3 linked regions of the Drosophila melanogaster genome follow. The protein of the gene in region 1 purifies or fractionates together with the protein of each later gene. This does not show direct contact. Each region holds a gene or a part of one and is shown in the gene's direction. Other genes may lie near its edges. The genes, in order: Gip, eIF4B and CG6726.

Evidence for each region.
Region 2: the proteins of Gip (region 1) and eIF4B purify together in Drosophila melanogaster (affinity purification with mass spectrometry, with the first as the bait; one large-scale study listed by BioGRID). This does not show direct contact.
Region 3: the proteins of Gip (region 1) and CG6726 purify together in Drosophila melanogaster (affinity purification with mass spectrometry, with the first as the bait; one large-scale study listed by BioGRID). This does not show direct contact.

Annotation. Positions count from the first base shown.
Region 1 is NC_004354.4:10,327,566-10,331,459, reverse strand, and holds Gip (GIP-like), read left to right. Parts: upstream 1-1,587; 5' UTR 1,588-1,697; coding exon 1,698-2,492; 3' UTR 2,493-2,583; downstream 2,584-3,894. Other genes in the region: CG15306 (uncharacterized protein), read left to right, coding at 1-1,074; CG2909 (uncharacterized protein), read right to left, coding at 2,860-3,048, 3,388-3,894. UniProt on the Drosophila melanogaster protein: Catalyzes the reversible isomerization between hydroxypyruvate and 2-hydroxy-3-oxopropanoate (also termed tartronate semialdehyde).
Region 2 is NT_037436.4:27,854,977-27,860,308, reverse strand, and holds the start of eIF4B (eukaryotic translation initiation factor 4B), read left to right. Parts: upstream 1-2,037; 5' UTR 2,038-2,105; coding exon 2,106-2,118; intron 2,119-2,373; coding exon 2,374-3,525; coding exon of another isoform or gene 3,526-3,533; exon of another isoform or gene 3,534-3,601; coding exon of another isoform or gene 3,602-3,606; exon of another isoform or gene 3,607-3,943; intron 3,944-5,332.
Region 3 is NT_033777.3:23,089,388-23,096,040, forward strand, and holds CG6726 (uncharacterized protein), read left to right. Parts: upstream 1-2,336; 5' UTR 2,337-2,369; intron 2,370-2,389; exon of another isoform or gene 2,390-2,475; 5' UTR 2,476-2,483; coding exon 2,484-2,574; intron 2,575-2,668; coding exon 2,669-3,160; intron 3,161-3,213; coding exon 3,214-3,631; intron 3,632-3,694; coding exon 3,695-3,899; 3' UTR 3,900-4,046; exon of another isoform or gene 4,047-4,072; intron 4,073-4,110; exon of another isoform or gene 4,111-4,113; 3' UTR 4,114-4,291; coding exon of another isoform or gene 4,292-4,388; intron 4,389-4,442; coding exon of another isoform or gene 4,443-4,934; intron 4,935-4,992; coding exon of another isoform or gene 4,993-5,407; intron 5,408-5,462; coding exon of another isoform or gene 5,463-5,667; 3' UTR 5,668-5,797; downstream 5,798-6,653. Other genes in the region: CG17110 (uncharacterized protein), read left to right, coding at 4,292-4,388, 4,443-4,934, 4,993-5,407, 5,463-5,667; CG17109 (uncharacterized protein), read left to right, coding at 6,346-6,436, 6,496-6,653.

The DNA of each region.
Region 1 (3,894 bases):
ATGGCTACTTCGAGGGCCCACAATGTGACCGTCACGCATAATTCGTTGGTTCAGTGGTCCCGTGGCGATATTCTCGATTGGTTCAACGAGACGCTCCAATGCAACCTAATCAATATCGAACAGTTGTGCACCGGTGCAGCCTATTGTAATTTGATGCATATGCTTTATCCCAAACTGATCAATTTGAAGCGAGTTAAGTTTTTTTCGAATCAAGAATACGAGTACGTTAACAATTTCAAGGAACTTCAAAAAGCCTTCAATAAGGTAAATGTAAGCCTACCAGCTGAGGTCAATGATTTGATCAAGGGCCACAGGGTAGAAAATTTTAAATTTGCCGTGTGGTTCCGACACTTTTTCAATGTCAATCACACTAAGGATAAATGCGCTGGCTACGATGCACTGGTAGCTCGTGACCATCAGAACATCGGTATCGGATCCTCAAAATTGACAACCAAAGATCGTTTTCGCTTGGTGAAGGTGAAGACGACAGCTATACGAGGTAAAGTTGCGACTTGCCAGGCGACGATTAACAGTAGCCTTTGCACGGGCAAAGCTAACCAGGACGAGGATAGCCAGCACACGGATAAAAAGGACGAGGATAGCCGTGACCAGGGTAGCCAGTACGAGGATAGCCCCGGCATGGATAGCCAGTACAAGGATTGCCGTGACCAGGATAGCCAGTACGAGGATAGCCACGGCAAGGATAGCCAGTACAAGGATTGCCGTGACCAGGGTAGCCAGTACGAGGATAGCCACGGCATGGATAGCCAGTACGAGGATAGCCGTGACCAGGATAGCCAGTACGAGGATAGCCCCGGCATGGATAGCCAGTACAAGGATAGCCGTGACCAGGATAGCCAGTACGAGGATAGCCACGGCAAGGATAGCCAGTACAAGGATTGCCGTGACCAGGGTAGCCAGTACGAGGATAGCCACGGCATGGATAGCCAGTACAAGGATAGCCGTGACCAGGGTTGCCAGTACGAGGATAGCCACGGCAAGGATAGCGAAGACGAGGATAGCCAGTACGAGGATAGCCAGGACATTCACATGGTGCTCCAAAGAGACCACTGATATCGTGACGTCGTCGGTTTTTAATTCCTGGCCAAGCTCATTGTCAACTCAAAACTCTCAAAAGAACTAGTCAAAGCACACGGTAGCCTCGAAGGAGTAAGGATGTGAAGACGAAGGCTGCCTGCTTTTCAAAATTAACAGTTTTGAACTCTTTAAACCAAATTCACATTTTCTCCACTGCTTTTGTATTTCATGGTTTGGAAATTGAAAATTAAAATGTTGACCCAAAACATGCGTCTTATTTAATGGTTCCCTTAATGTCCGCTAGGTGGAGTCAATGCTTTTCACACAGGTTTTATATTAAATAATAATACTAAATAATAATAATAATATTAAAAATATTAACGCTACGAGTGTTAGAACTAGTATTTTATTTAACTAACGACGAACTAAATTAAATAATATACTAATTCTAAATAATGGTTCTGATGCCAGCTAAATAACTTAAAACCTACGTATGTATGTACATATATCACGCAAAGCTTTGGTCGGAAAAGCTCCTGCTCCATATGACATTGGCAGTATCAAAAGTCGGTAGATATAATATAAAAAACGGGTAATCGCATCGTTCCCCCCCAGTTGTTTGCCAAGCGTGAACGCAGGCGGAGATTAGTGAACGGAAGATGGCACTCAAGTTTGCAGCGAATCTGAACTTTTTGTTCACGGAAAGAGCGACGTCGATCGCGGAGCGAATTCGTCTGGCCCACCAGAACGGATTCCGTGCGGTAGAGATCCCCTATCCCGAAGGCGAGACGAGCGACGTGGTGTCCGCCGTAAAGGAGACGGGTGTGGTGGTCAGTCTGGTGAATCTGGCCTTCGACAAGAGCGACGATCAGCTGCGTTTCGGCTCCACCAGTGTGCCCGGCTCGGAAAAGCTGTTCCGTAGCCAATTGGATGCCACCATTGATTTCGCCCGACAGGTTAACTGTGGCAAGATTCATCTAACCGCTGGACTCTTCAAGGGCGGCCAGGAGAGTGACTACACGAAGACGTATACCGCCAATCTAAAGATCGCCGCCGATAGCCTTAGAGCCAGTAAAATGATCGGCGTGATAGAGCCAATTAACAAGTACGCCGTGCCTGGCTACTACATGAATTCATACTCCAAAGCCGCTGGAATTCTGGCCGATGTGGCTGCGGACAACATTCAATTGCTGGCCGATCTGTATCACCTGCAGCATTTGCACGGCAACGTTTCCAAGACGCTCGAGGAGTACAAGGCGCTGATTGGACACTTTCAGATCGCCCAGGTGCCGCATCGCCACGAGCCGGATGTTTCCGGTGAGCTGGACTACGGATTTGTGTTCAAGGCTCTCCAGGAATTCGGCTATGATGGATGGATCGGTTGCGAGTACAAGCCGAAGACGACCACTGTCGAGGGTTTGGGTTGGGTCTCCAAATTGGGCTACACGCTATAATTATCACATCACATATAGTTTGGCATAAGGAACTGCTCTGCATTTATACACATGTATTTACACTGCTTACAAACATAAAGATGGTTTAACCAAAATACTTAATTCTATTACATATTTCTCTCGTTTTCGAGGCATTTTCATGGCTTTTTAAAGCTTCAATTGGTTGGTTCAATTCAATCAATTGGTTGGTTTTGGTTTAAAATGGTCGTTTTATAAAATCGATTACAATATAAAATCCTTTTTTTTCCCTTTTTTTTTGGAATTGTCATGCGTCTGTCAAAAGGTCATGGAATTGACCTACAGCAAGTGTGGAATAAAACAGTAGCTACGATTAGATAAGATTAGATAACAGGCAGATTCACGTATCTCATAAGGCGTCACTCTCGCTCCGAATCACCCGCTTGGCATATTCGGCTATGTGGAGCACCCCGTGCTCCGGTGAGGCGATGTGCAGGTTGCCTCCATTGCAGAATTTCGTGTTTATGTACGGATTGTGCAGCTCGGCCACCAACGTGGAGCAGGCCGTCGAGGAGTCACCTGTGGACTGCAGCATTTTCTAAAACGAATGAAGTTTATAATATGTGAAATTAGAAAGAAGAAAATGTTAAGATCAAAGGAAGAACTACAACTACTTTAATGTCAAGTTACTTTCCATTGGTTTAATGATCACTAAATTGAATTATCTTTATAATTGCACTTAACACAATTATAAACACTTACTAAGCTGATAATGCATGCCCTCATTAAATTGATAATGTTCTTATTATTTAATATAAAGGGCATTAGTGGAAAACTAGAACACACAGTTGGCCAAACCACAGAATATAAATATATTGTTTCACCACTTAATATCAACATTTGTGGCTAGGAGGGCACTGTCAATCTATGTACTTACCATCCAGAATTCATTACCCGGCAGGGCGTTTCCATCCCAAGCGTAAGAGACTACCAGCAGCATTCCGGCGTGCTCAGGATCACTCAATTTTCGTGCTGGATTGCGCTTGGAAATGAGCACCCTGATGCCATCCTTTGGATGCCCGGGAATCTCTATCAGCGATCCGTTGCTTAGACCGCCGCAATGTGTGATCGAAAACCAGGAGAAGTGCACGAGGCCAACGTTATTGAGCCTGTTGCCCAGCGTGCGCATACGCTGCTCGAAGGTCTCCATGAAGATGCGCTCCTGCTGTTCTGCTGCCTTCCACACGCCCAAGCCGAAGCCCACCACATGGATGTACGCCAGCTTTTTCACGCGTTTTGCCCTTGCCTCTGCCTCCAGCAGCAGCATGTCGAAGCTGATGGCGTAACGCCGCTTCATCACCAGATTGTCGAACACGTCCATCTTGTTTTTCGATGGTCCGAAACGCTGATTGTCAATGACTGCCTGGCCGTGGATGAGATCCCG
Region 2 (5,332 bases), on another chromosome or scaffold:
TATGCTGAATCGCAAACTTTCTAGCTTTTATAGTTCCTGAGATCTCGACGTTCTACGGACAGTCGGACATGGCCATATCGACTCGGCTATTGATCCTCATCAAGAATGTACAAATGTACTTTATATGGTCGGAAACGCGTACTTCTGCCTGTTACATACTTTCAACGAACGTACTTTAAGATACTTTATTTTCGAGTATAATTTTCAGGAAATGAATTCATTTTACAATCAACAATATAGAAGCAATCATTAAAGGTAACTTGTTGTAATACATTGGAAGTGGAATTATTCCGGAATTCTGGATGCATTCCCATAAATGCTTCTGTAAGCATTCTCTTTTTATATTTTATTCAACTAGAAGTATATAAATTGATCAGTAGCCGTGTTGGTTTATTTTGCTTATTTATACTATGATAGACGAAAGACAAAAATCTGTATTGGGAATAATTAATACAATTAATTAATATAAATTAATTAATTAATTAATTAAATTAATAATATAAAAGAAGAGAGAATTCAATAGTCGAGTTCTCCGAGTATCAGATACCCGTTACTTATGTACTGGGACTGCGAACGCGAAATGTCATAATTTTTCTGGAATTTCGATATATTATTGTTATATATGTATATTGCTTAAAAGTGAGAGCGTGTCAGTTTTGGGACGTTAGTGGGCGTTAGAGTGGGCTCTATGTCTGTGGAACCTGTATACTTTATCTCAACTCTTTAGCTTCTATAGTTGAGAGATCCCGTTGTTGATACAGTGGACAGACAGACAGACGGACATGGCCAGATCGACTCGGCTATTGATCCTGATTAAGAATATACAGGCTACTAAATTTTGTTTGTAAAATTTGAGGTGGGGTCAGAAATAAATTTTTAATAACATAACTAAGTGGGAGAATGATATTATGGTGATGTGGAATAAACATCAAAAGACTACTGAGTAAACTATTTTTATATTTTTTGATATAAAAAAGATATTTACTTTTCATTTCGGCCAGACAAAAGTGCCGGTTTTACAAATCGAAAAATTGTTATCATTTCAAAAACCTCAGCACCGATTTTTCGATTGCAAATCGAAATCGTAAGATACGTTTTTTCTTACTTTTCAACAAATCTAATACACCATTTTACTCTAGGAGTAACGGGTATATACATATAGTACATTGTAATTTATTGAAAACCATGCACGCGTTTATGTTATGGAAACAACCTTTTTTCTTGTTATGTGGATAAAATATCACTACACAACAATTATTTCTCACAAACTCTTCCGAACTTTCCACTGGGTCGCAAAAAATGGAAAGTGGAATAAGGAACATCGCCAGCTTAGACTGCAAGTTAGATTATGATTAGGCTCATAATATATTGTCAAATGCAGGAGTTTACACCACTCAGGCCCTATTAAAAGAAAATCATTGTAAGCTGTACTACAATTGTTGAAACGAACTAATTGCTCCACATAATCATGGAAATTAATTTTGGCTTTTTGTTAAAGAACTCTATATTCCTACATTCCAACAAAGCTGCCTTGTGCAGCGAGTAGGCTATTATTAACTATATTTGAAAACAAAACTAAGTAATTTATCGTGCTAAGAATTTACATGATACAATTTTATTTTATATTGTATGTATTAAAATTTGTTTCATATTTAGAAAAAAAATATTAACACTAAGGTTCAAATAAACAAATTTTTTTACTATTCATATTTAGAAAACATTTCCGTACTACGGTACATAGTCAATGTTAGCCATAAAAAGCATACAAAAATGAACGAATTTGAAAGAGAGCGACAAGTAACTTTGATTAAAACATATACATACATAGTAAATTGTGTCTTAATATTTGAGCTTAAAATAAAAACAGAAAAGTCATCAAACTTTACTGGAATATTCAATTTTATTCTAAGTATCGGATTTTCACATATGTCAAAATTTCCAACTGTTTCTTTAGGATGTGCTCTTTGGGTTTTGGGTATTACCAGTTGTCAAAATAGTGCAGTTAAGCCCGAAATAAATATCGATAACGATATAGGAAAATTGATTTCTCTATTTTTGTGAATTCGGTAAATTATCAAAATTAAAGATTGGAAACATTGGTTGAAATGGCGTCCGCAGGTTAGAAATTTTTTTTATAATATCTAAGTTTAAAGTTTAAATTTTTTTTATTAATTGTAAAAAGGTAGTAATTTAATTGTGAGATTGTGTGGTTCCGCATGGATTTTTTCTTGACACGTAATGTAAAAGGAACACATGTCCACCTGCATGCATATGTGTAATCTTGCTTAACATAATATTTTATTGTATATATTGGTTGGTCATCATTTCTACTTAAGTATGTATTTCAATTTAATATTTTATTTTATTTTTCAGGAAAGAAGGGCAAAAAGAATAAAGGAACAGTTATCTCCTTGCAATCATTTCTATGTAATTCTGACGCTCCAGTCGGAACAACCCAAGTCTCAAAAAAAATACGAAATTTAGATGGCGATGATAGCGATGATGGAAGTGGTACATTGCCGTTGGTTTATCAGCTTCCAACCGCTCCGAGGGCAAATCGGATATTCGACGATAATTCTATTCCTCATAAAGCCCCATTTATTGCTTATATCAATAATTTACCATTTGACGCAAATGAAGATGACCTCTACGAGTTCTTTGAAGGTATTAATTTAATATCTCTGAGACTACCAAGAGAAGATGGCGAAAATGGTCGTTCCAGAGGCTTTGGCTATGTGGAGTTGGAAAATCGAGAGGATTTAATTCATGTACTTAGCTTGCCAGACCCCTCTATTAAAGGTCGCCGCATTCGCATTGAGCTATCGAATGAAAACGACCAGCAAAGCCGCCAAAAAAGTAATAGGCGGTTTGATGGTTTTGGAAATAATGGAGATAATAGGGATTCCGGAAATTGGAGGCGAGACAGCCAAAACAACGGCAGTAACTTTGGTTATTCTTCCAATTTTGAAAGAAGCTTTAATAGAGAGAGAAAATCTTTACCAGATAGAGATGATGTGAACACTCCTGGATCTTGGCGCACGAGCGCAAGGCCGCAATCTATTGATACTTCCCCTACACGCAGAGAAGTTGAACAAGTATCTGAAAAATATCGCGAAGGTCGAGTCAAAATAGCAGACAGATATTCCCGAGAAGAGACATCCAAAGTTGAAGAAGAAAGGCCAAAATTGAATTTAAAACCAAGAACTTTACCATTGCCAGATGTAAAGACAATTGAATTCGAAAAATGTGACGTTGATGAATTTAATTTGGATAAACAAGGCGGAACTTCATCATTAAACGTGTTTGGGTCTGCAAAACCGGTAGATACAGCAGCAAGGGAGTTGGAGATTGAGCAAAGATTGGCTCTCGCTCGAAAACAGGATAAGGGGCGCAGAGAACAGGGTTTAAATGAAAAACTTGCCGAGCTCCAGGTGGATAAAAATGATAATGAAAGTCTAAGTGCAACAGTTAGTTGGCGCACGAATCAGGACTACAAGGAAAGCGACAAAATTAATAAGTGTCCAGGTAACTAAAATCTAAATATTTGTCTGAATGTAGAAGTGAATTTTATCTGACTTGAGTTTTTAATCTAATCAAAAAGCATAATAATAATAAATAATCAGAGGAGGAGGAAATATACAACGCCACATAAAATACAACAAATTAACATTTTTCGAAAATGTGGGAGAAGCCGTAATTTGGCAAATAATCAATAACGTATCTCCTATATATTTGGTTTTCACCGTGCACCTACTTTTTGGGTGCCGACAAAAAATGCGATGTCTGTAAATTATACCATTGCTTAAAACCCAAACCACAAAAAATACTGTATGCGGGCTTACTTATGCGAGAACACGATTTTCAAGCTGGAAATATTTTATTTAAAAAAAAATCATAATTAACTTGTATTATTCTATTAATAAAATTCGAGTTGCACAAAATTATTCAAATAGTTGGTATTTTCATATATAATACTTAATATTAGTAATGTGCACTTCAGATACATATGTATTGTATATAATGTGTGTTCTCCATATTAAATTTTTGATATGCTACAGGCAGCATAATTTCCTTCTTTCAGAACTCAATATAAACTATTGTGGGCATCGGAAAATAATTATTTATTTTTATAATTTAGGTAAATGTAAATGTAGTTCCAAAGTTTTTATTTATATTTTTTTGAAGATGAAATCTGATAGGTGACGTCCCCCATTCTCCATACATTGCGTAAACCGATTTCTGGCGTTTGTCGTGACTCTTGTTAGCATAGCAGGTGTTATGATGATGATGGTTTTCAACTCTTTTAGCGTTCTTGGACGGTTCACATAAACACGTTGTGAAATTCCTGCACTATCGCCATCTCATACCGATGGAATTTAAGGTCATCATAAAGAATTCTTCTCCCAGAACGATCGGATAGTCATAGTCAAAGGTCAGACGCGTGTTTGAGCGCAGAACGCTGTGGAGATCGCAATATTGGCGCTCTCACTGCTTCAATGTTCTCAGGTGATCTAACGGGTCGAGGGACTCCAGTTCTTCGTTTTGTCGCGCTTGCAGTTTGCCTGAATGTAGTGACCCATGTAACAATTGATTTGCGTTCAGGGACAGGAGCCAACAGTGCTAAATTAAAGCGATACCGAAATGCACGCTGTGTTTTAATAACCGAACATCCGCTTGAAAAGTAGGCCACAACGGCAAAGGCGCGCTCCTCACTATTCCAACGCAAGATGGCGACTGAACCGTGTCGGGACAAAGCTTTGCAGTAGCCCCTCTTGAACGGGGCCATTAGTGCTCCGCTATGACATCAACTAACTGAATGGCGCGCATTTAAAAAAGGAAGTTTTGCTGCCGCACCCTGTATATACAATATGTATGCACGGGTGCGGTCTAAATAATACTAAAGCCGGTCAAGCAAAAAGTTATTTCTCATTATTTTCTCCATTCCTTTACTTAATTAATTAAATTTTTTCACTTTAGTAACTTAGCAGTTATTGACCAAAAGGTGAGATCGTTGCTTAGGAGGACAATCTAGGATTCCGACTTTCGGGTCTGTTTCTTCGAAAAATGTAAGTTTATTAGTAATTAGAAGACGACTCGATCCAGATCCTCATTTCAAGAGGCCAAAAAAAAAAAGCGGCATTACTCAGAAAAAAACATGAAGCCTAATGATTTAGGTTTGCGTGAGATCGCTTGAATTGGTGCAGAGGAGTAAAATCTTGGGGTCGGTTAAGGCGAAAATATTTTTGTTTTGACGGCAGTGACTCAAGTTAGTATTTTAGGTGACTTATAGGATCAAAACCATCACTGATCGTTATCTATACGTCGAAACATT
Region 3 (6,653 bases), on another chromosome or scaffold:
GCTTTATTGCATCTGGCTATTGGTAGCTGCATAATTGAACGACGAATGCGATTAATTGGCAAAGCAAACAGCATTCGAGGCCATTGAATTATGGGAATTGCGAATGCTAGGCTTAACAATCAAAATTAAAGCCGGGGGATTTTTAATGCGAGTACGTGTAATAATTATCCTTAACGAAGCGATAAATGTCGATCAATTAAATTATGACTGCTAATTAAGTAAGCACACAATTTTTACCGACGCACTTGCATTTGCATTTTCAGCAGCTCTATGAATGTGCATCCAATTTGCAGACCGAGTGGTCCACAATTTTGATGACATTCGCACAAGTTGTGAATAAAAACCGTTTCGAGTGCTTTCGCCTTGTGCAGGCAGTAAGCAGCACGCATACGCACTGTTGGCCAGCACTTTTTGTATATCGATGTCGACTGTGAGTGCAGTTTGCTAAAGTGCTTGCCAAGAGCTGAGCTCCTTTTTTTCGTTCCACCTAATGCCTGACACACACACACACAAATTGAAGCTCTCCAGGCGATGCAAACGCATGCCCTCCGGATTGTCCTTGAGCTGTCAGTCCGCCAGCAACCCAATTCCCATTCCATATTTCCATACTACCGAAACTTTGCCATGGGCTCTGAAAAAAGCTCGAACAAAAGGAAATGTACGCTCTGGGCCGAGGGATATGGTAAATGGTAAATGGCAGAGGAGGATTATATCAGTTCTCTCGCTTTTATTTTTTTTTTTTGCTTTTTTTGGCCAGGTAATGCGCCCATAACGGATTAGGCGATATCCTCGGGGTTCCATCTCTGCAGTTCTGCAGGTTTTGGGTGCTCAACGCAAACAGTTTCCGGCGTTGCCCGGATAATTGTTACAATATACAAAATTTTCATTTAGTTTATTTGCCCAGCGACAACATGTCAGCTCAGCAGCAACATCAGCAAACAACAAACAGGCGCGCCCCCAAGTCACCACCATGGGCGAAAAGTGAATAATTTGGCATCAGATAAGTAGATTCGTGTTTTACTCGACTAAGAATGAACTACTTTAGCCTCTGTACAGACTTATAGACTCTATTCTAGGGACATTACATTCGAATTATGCCAAAAACTTGCCATTTTGGCCCATTGTGCAGCTGAACGAGTGTTTGTGCGCAGGAAACTTGTGTATTTATTTGACTTATGTGACGCTGTAAATGGGGAGAGTACGAGTTTGTACGAATGTGGGGCTTGGATGTTATTTAAAATGCAGACATGTGTAGCCTGTAGTTGCTGCTATTGCTGCTGGTGCGCCATTAAAATCCCAGCAACATTGTTAATGAACTTTTAATGACTTTTTGTGAGTACACACACTAAAACAATATCAACTTTGGCCTAGCAGGGTGTGTATGCGACACAAATCAGAGGGCTTTGGTTTTGTGTATTTTTTTTGGCCCAACCACCTTTTTTTCTGTATGGGAACAAGCGTGAAATCTAAATGCGAAACTAACTTTTGACACACTACTGGGACAACAGACGCAGTGCAGCAAAGTCGGCAAGTGCAGCAGGAACACTATTAATATGCGAAATTTGAATTGGATTCGAGTGGCTGAAAGGCCCGAGGAGGGGCAACTTGTTTACCCGGAAGCCCACTGGGCGTGTGGTGCGAACGTGTGCAGTGCATCTTGATTAACAAATCAACTGGAATTGGAATGCGATTGCATGCGATTCATCAGTAATCGGAAATCTTGGCTGCGGGCCAAATGGGGTCACCATCAATCCAGCAATCCTGCAGTCCTGTTACCCCCAAAGCAATGCGAAGCACCTTCGCCTCCATTTAAGGCAAATAAATCCATCAGCCAGGGGGAATCCCAAGTAAATGAGCCTTAAAGTGGGTTCATATGTACCGGAAAGTGATGGAAGAATGTTCACCAATACATGGAGTGGAATCCCTACCAATTGGGATGGTACAGAAATAGAGTTCCACTCCTTGTGCTATGAGCTGCAAAATTCAGTTTAATTTATAAATAATGCAGTACAAGATAGAAATTACTATTAGGGGATGTCTCTTTTGTAATCAATTGAATTTTTGAGTGCTGGATATTAAATTCATCAAATTAGTTTCTCATATAGAAATGGGAAGACACGAATATTATTAATGACGGAAGCAATTGTTAACTGCAAGTCATTTGTACTGAAAAGTAGATTAGCCATCTAAAAAGTAAACAAATGCGTAAGATAAAACAGTTTATAGGCAGCACCGTATGATAAGAAATTAGGTTTAGTTCCTTCTCGGATTTATTATCATGCCCTCTCTTTCGCTCGCTTATCGCTGATATTTAAACGCGCGCTTCTCTCCACGATCGCACAGTCGTCGTCGAGCCAGTGTTGCGAAAGGTGTGTTGTGTGTCTGCTCTCCGCTGTGGTGAAGTGTCGATCAGCTGATTTCAGCAAACAATTTAATTGATTTGTTATCAGCCGGCTAATTATTTACATTTTATAGAGTGCAAAATGAGTACAGCCAAGTGGGAGAACAACGAGGAGATTAAGATCTTTCGCGAATATCTTCGCATACCAACGGTGCATCCAAATGTGGATTACAGTGAGTTCCAATGGGCATGTATATCTTTATGAGGCTGCGATAAGAGTACCCTGATCTTTATGACCTTGCCATAAAATGTGTCTGCTATTTATAGCCGTTTGCACGGAATTCTTGAAACGCCAGGCTGCCAGCTTGGACCTGCCCGTGGAGGTTATCTATCCGGTGAACGAGCAGAATCCCGTGGTGGTGCTAAAATGGCAGGGTTCCCAGCCGGAACTGCCCTCCATCATTCTCAATTCGCACACGGATGTAGTGCCCGTTTTTGAGGAGAAGTGGACACACGGTCCATTCAGCGCGGATCTAGATGCAGAGGGTCGCATCTTTGCGCGCGGATCGCAGGACATGAAGTGCGTGGGCACCCAATATCTGGGAGCTGTGCGTGCCCTCAAGGCCAGTGGCTATCAACCCAAGAGGACGATCTATCTCACTTATGTTCCGGACGAGGAGGTTGGCGGCCACCTGGGCATGCGGGAGCTGGTAAAGAGCGACTACTTCAAGAAGCTCAATGTGGGATTCAGTTTCGACGAGGGAATCTCTAGTGCGGATGAAACCTACGCTCTGTACTACGCTGAACGGACTCTTTGGCGTGAGTAGGATTGACTCATACAAACAATTTAAGCTAGCCATGTTTTCCTGCAGATCTTCGTTTCAAGATCAGCGGAACTGCTGGTCACGGATCACTGTTGCTCCCGAATACTGCTGGCGAGAAGCTGAACTATGTGGTAGGCAAAATGATGGAGTTCCGCAAATCGCAAGTGCAAAAACTAGCTGACGACTCATCCCTCGAAATTGGTGATGTGACCACTGTGAATCTCACCCAACTGAGGGGCGGAGTCCAGAGCAACGTGGTTCCCCCATTGCTGGAAGCTGTATTTGATATCCGCATTGCCGTCACCGTGGATATCCCTGCCTTTGAGAAGCAGATTCGCGACTGGTGCGAGGAGGCTGGCGGCGGCATTGAACTGGAGTTTGAGATGAAAAACCCCTTTGTGGAGCCAACAAAGATTGACTCGTCGAATGCCTACTGGCTGGCCTTTAAGAAAGCACTCGATGACCTGTAAGGATGAGAAGCTCTGACAAAAGGCATGGCTCTGATATCCTTTCTCCTTGTTTCTTTCAGTGGCCTCAAGACACGGGTTCGTGTTTTCCCCGGCGCCACGGACAGTCGTTATATTCGCTACGCAGGCATTCCAGCTCTAGGATTCTCGCCCATTAACAACACCCCCATCCTGCTGCACGACCACGATGAATTCCTGAAAGCCGATACCTATTTGCACGGCATTGAGGTTTACAAGAAGCTCATTCCTGCCGTAGCTGATGCTTAGCGAACTCAATTCAATTATGAAATAATGCATTTAATGCTTACTTGTCGATGTTTATTGTAATAACTTTAAACAAGCAGGCTTATAAAAACCCATTTAAATAAACAATGTATGAATAAATAAGCCAGTCCATAGTCCATACCATTAATGGTGAGCAAAAAAAGGAAATTTAAATGAAAATGAATAAGTTTATGGTTTACTATTATGGCTTTGCTAGATAACATTAAGCTCTTAGCGCAAAGATGAAAATCCGCAAATTGTGGGCTCTTCTAATCAAGTAGCTTAAAGTCAACAACTGATAATGCCATTAAGTCAATCCACACTCAGACTTCAAACCAAACAGCACGGTGGATTACAAGTCAGTTCCTTTAGAACCACGGGGCATTCAACTCAAAATGTGCACTTGCACGGAACAATGGAAGAACGACGAGGAAATAATCATTTTCCAGGAGTATTTGCGCATTCCCTCGGTGCATCCAGACGTGGACTACAGTAAGGATTTGTTTTTCCGCTCCTTGGATTTTGTTATCCCTATTTCCCTTGCAGCTGCATGCGTGGAGTTCCTAAAACGCCAGGCTAACAAACTTAATCTCCGCGTGGACGTGGTGTATCCTGTTGTGCCTTCGAAACCGGTGGTGATTATGAAGTGGCTGGGCAAGCATCCCGAGCTGAAATCCATTATATTGAACTCACACATGGACGTGGTGCCCGTGTTTCCCGAAAAGTGGACCCATGAGCCGTTTGGTGCCCACATAGACGCCCAAGGCCGGATTTATGCACGCGGTGCCCAGGACATGAAGTCCGTGGGATGTCAGTACATGGCTGCGGTCCGTGCACTCAAAGCCAGTGGCTATCAGCCAAAAAGGACCGTATATTTGACTTTTGTGCCCGACGAGGAAACTGGCGGACACATGGGCATGGCTGAATTCGTCAAGGGTGATTACTTCAAAGCCATGAATGTGGGCTTTAGCCTGGACGAGGGCATCGCCAGTGAAGATGACACTTATCCTGTATTTTACGCCGAGCGTACATTGTGGCGTAAGTCTTCCATTTGCATCAGTAGCAATATATTCTGATTCATTTTATACCCCTGCAGAACTTCGATTTAAATTCAGTGGCACTTCAGGTCATGGATCGCTGCTGCACAAAAGCACGGCTGGCGAAAAGTTTCACTTTGTGATGGATAAGCTGATGAAGTTCCGAGAAACCCAGGTCAAGCTACTGGCCGAGGACTCCTCCTTGCAGTCCGGTGATGTGACCACTTTGAACCTGACCCAACTCAACGGTGGCGTCCAAAGCAATGTGGTTCCCCCCGTACTAGAAGCCACTTTTGATATTCGCATAGCCATCAACCAGAATGCCGATGCAATGGAGAATCAGATTCGCGAGTGGTGCAACGAAGTCGGTGGTGGAGTGGAACTGGATTTCACGCTGAAGTGCCCCTCGGTGGTGACCAAGATAGACGACTCCAATCCCTACTGGCTGGGCTTCAAAAAGGGACTAGATGAACTGTAGGTAAACAAAGATTGTGTAGTTTTCACTTCATAATTTGTTGAAATTTTCCAGAGGTTTGATCACCCATACACGAGTTTTCCCCGGCGCCACCGATAGCTTCTACGTCCGGCAAGTGGGAATTCCCGCTCTGGGATTTTCACCCATCAACAACACCCCGGTGCTGCTGCACAATCATGATGAATATTTGCGGGCCGACACATATCTGCACGGAATTCAGGTGTACAGGAAGCTCATCCCCTCTATTGCTGATTCATAAAATGTTCAAGCGAAGTTCCACTCATAAATGGAAATCAATATGCTACAATTGGTCTTATCGCTTATGAGTAATGTTTTTGGCTCGATGAGTGTAGGACCAAAATTAAATGTTTAAATGGTGTGACTACTACAAATCATATCTGTTTCTAAACAAATGAAAATCACACACTGATAACACGAGTTTCAGAAGAGAGTTTTTGTCATGGACTTTGCCCTCATTCAATATCCAATAAATCGTCACAACTATTGATATCGTTCTCAAAAACTAACGTAACCTTCACGTAAAGGGGTTGTATTTTATATATACATCATAATTATCAATAATTACATTAATATGTATTCTATTTTCTTATCAAACCAAATACAAATTATAATAACCCATTTTTTCGCAGACCATAAACGACGGTGGTTGAGTTTTATTGGTGTTATGTGAACTTTATCGAATTGGCTACCGTTTGCTATTAGACATTTGTTTTGGTAGAATTTTGTACAAGAATATGTGCTGTTATCATTTCTATAACAACCGAGTTTGATAACGAACTCATTATTTGATAATAATACGAAGCCAAGGCCATAAAACCAAAATCACCCAACACACAAAAATTTCTGTATAAGTTCATTTTTTGCCAACTGCGGCACATTCGAGTTTGGTGACTGGCAGCGAAAACATATCCACAAAATGAGCACCGAAAAGTGGGAGGACAACGAGGAAATCAAAATATTCCGCGAATATTTGCGCATAGCTACGGTGCAGCCAAATGTGGATTACAGTAAGGATTCCCCAAGGAATTCACAGAAGAGCACTACTCATGTACATCTTAACTTCTAGCCGAATGTGTGGAGTTCCTGAAAAGGCAGGCTCACAGCCTGGATCTTCCCGTGGATGTTATATATCCAGTGGAGAAGAAGCCTGTGGTGATCATCAAGTGGTTGGGCACCGAACCGGAGCTGCCCTCCGTCATTCTCAACTCGCACATGGATGTGGTG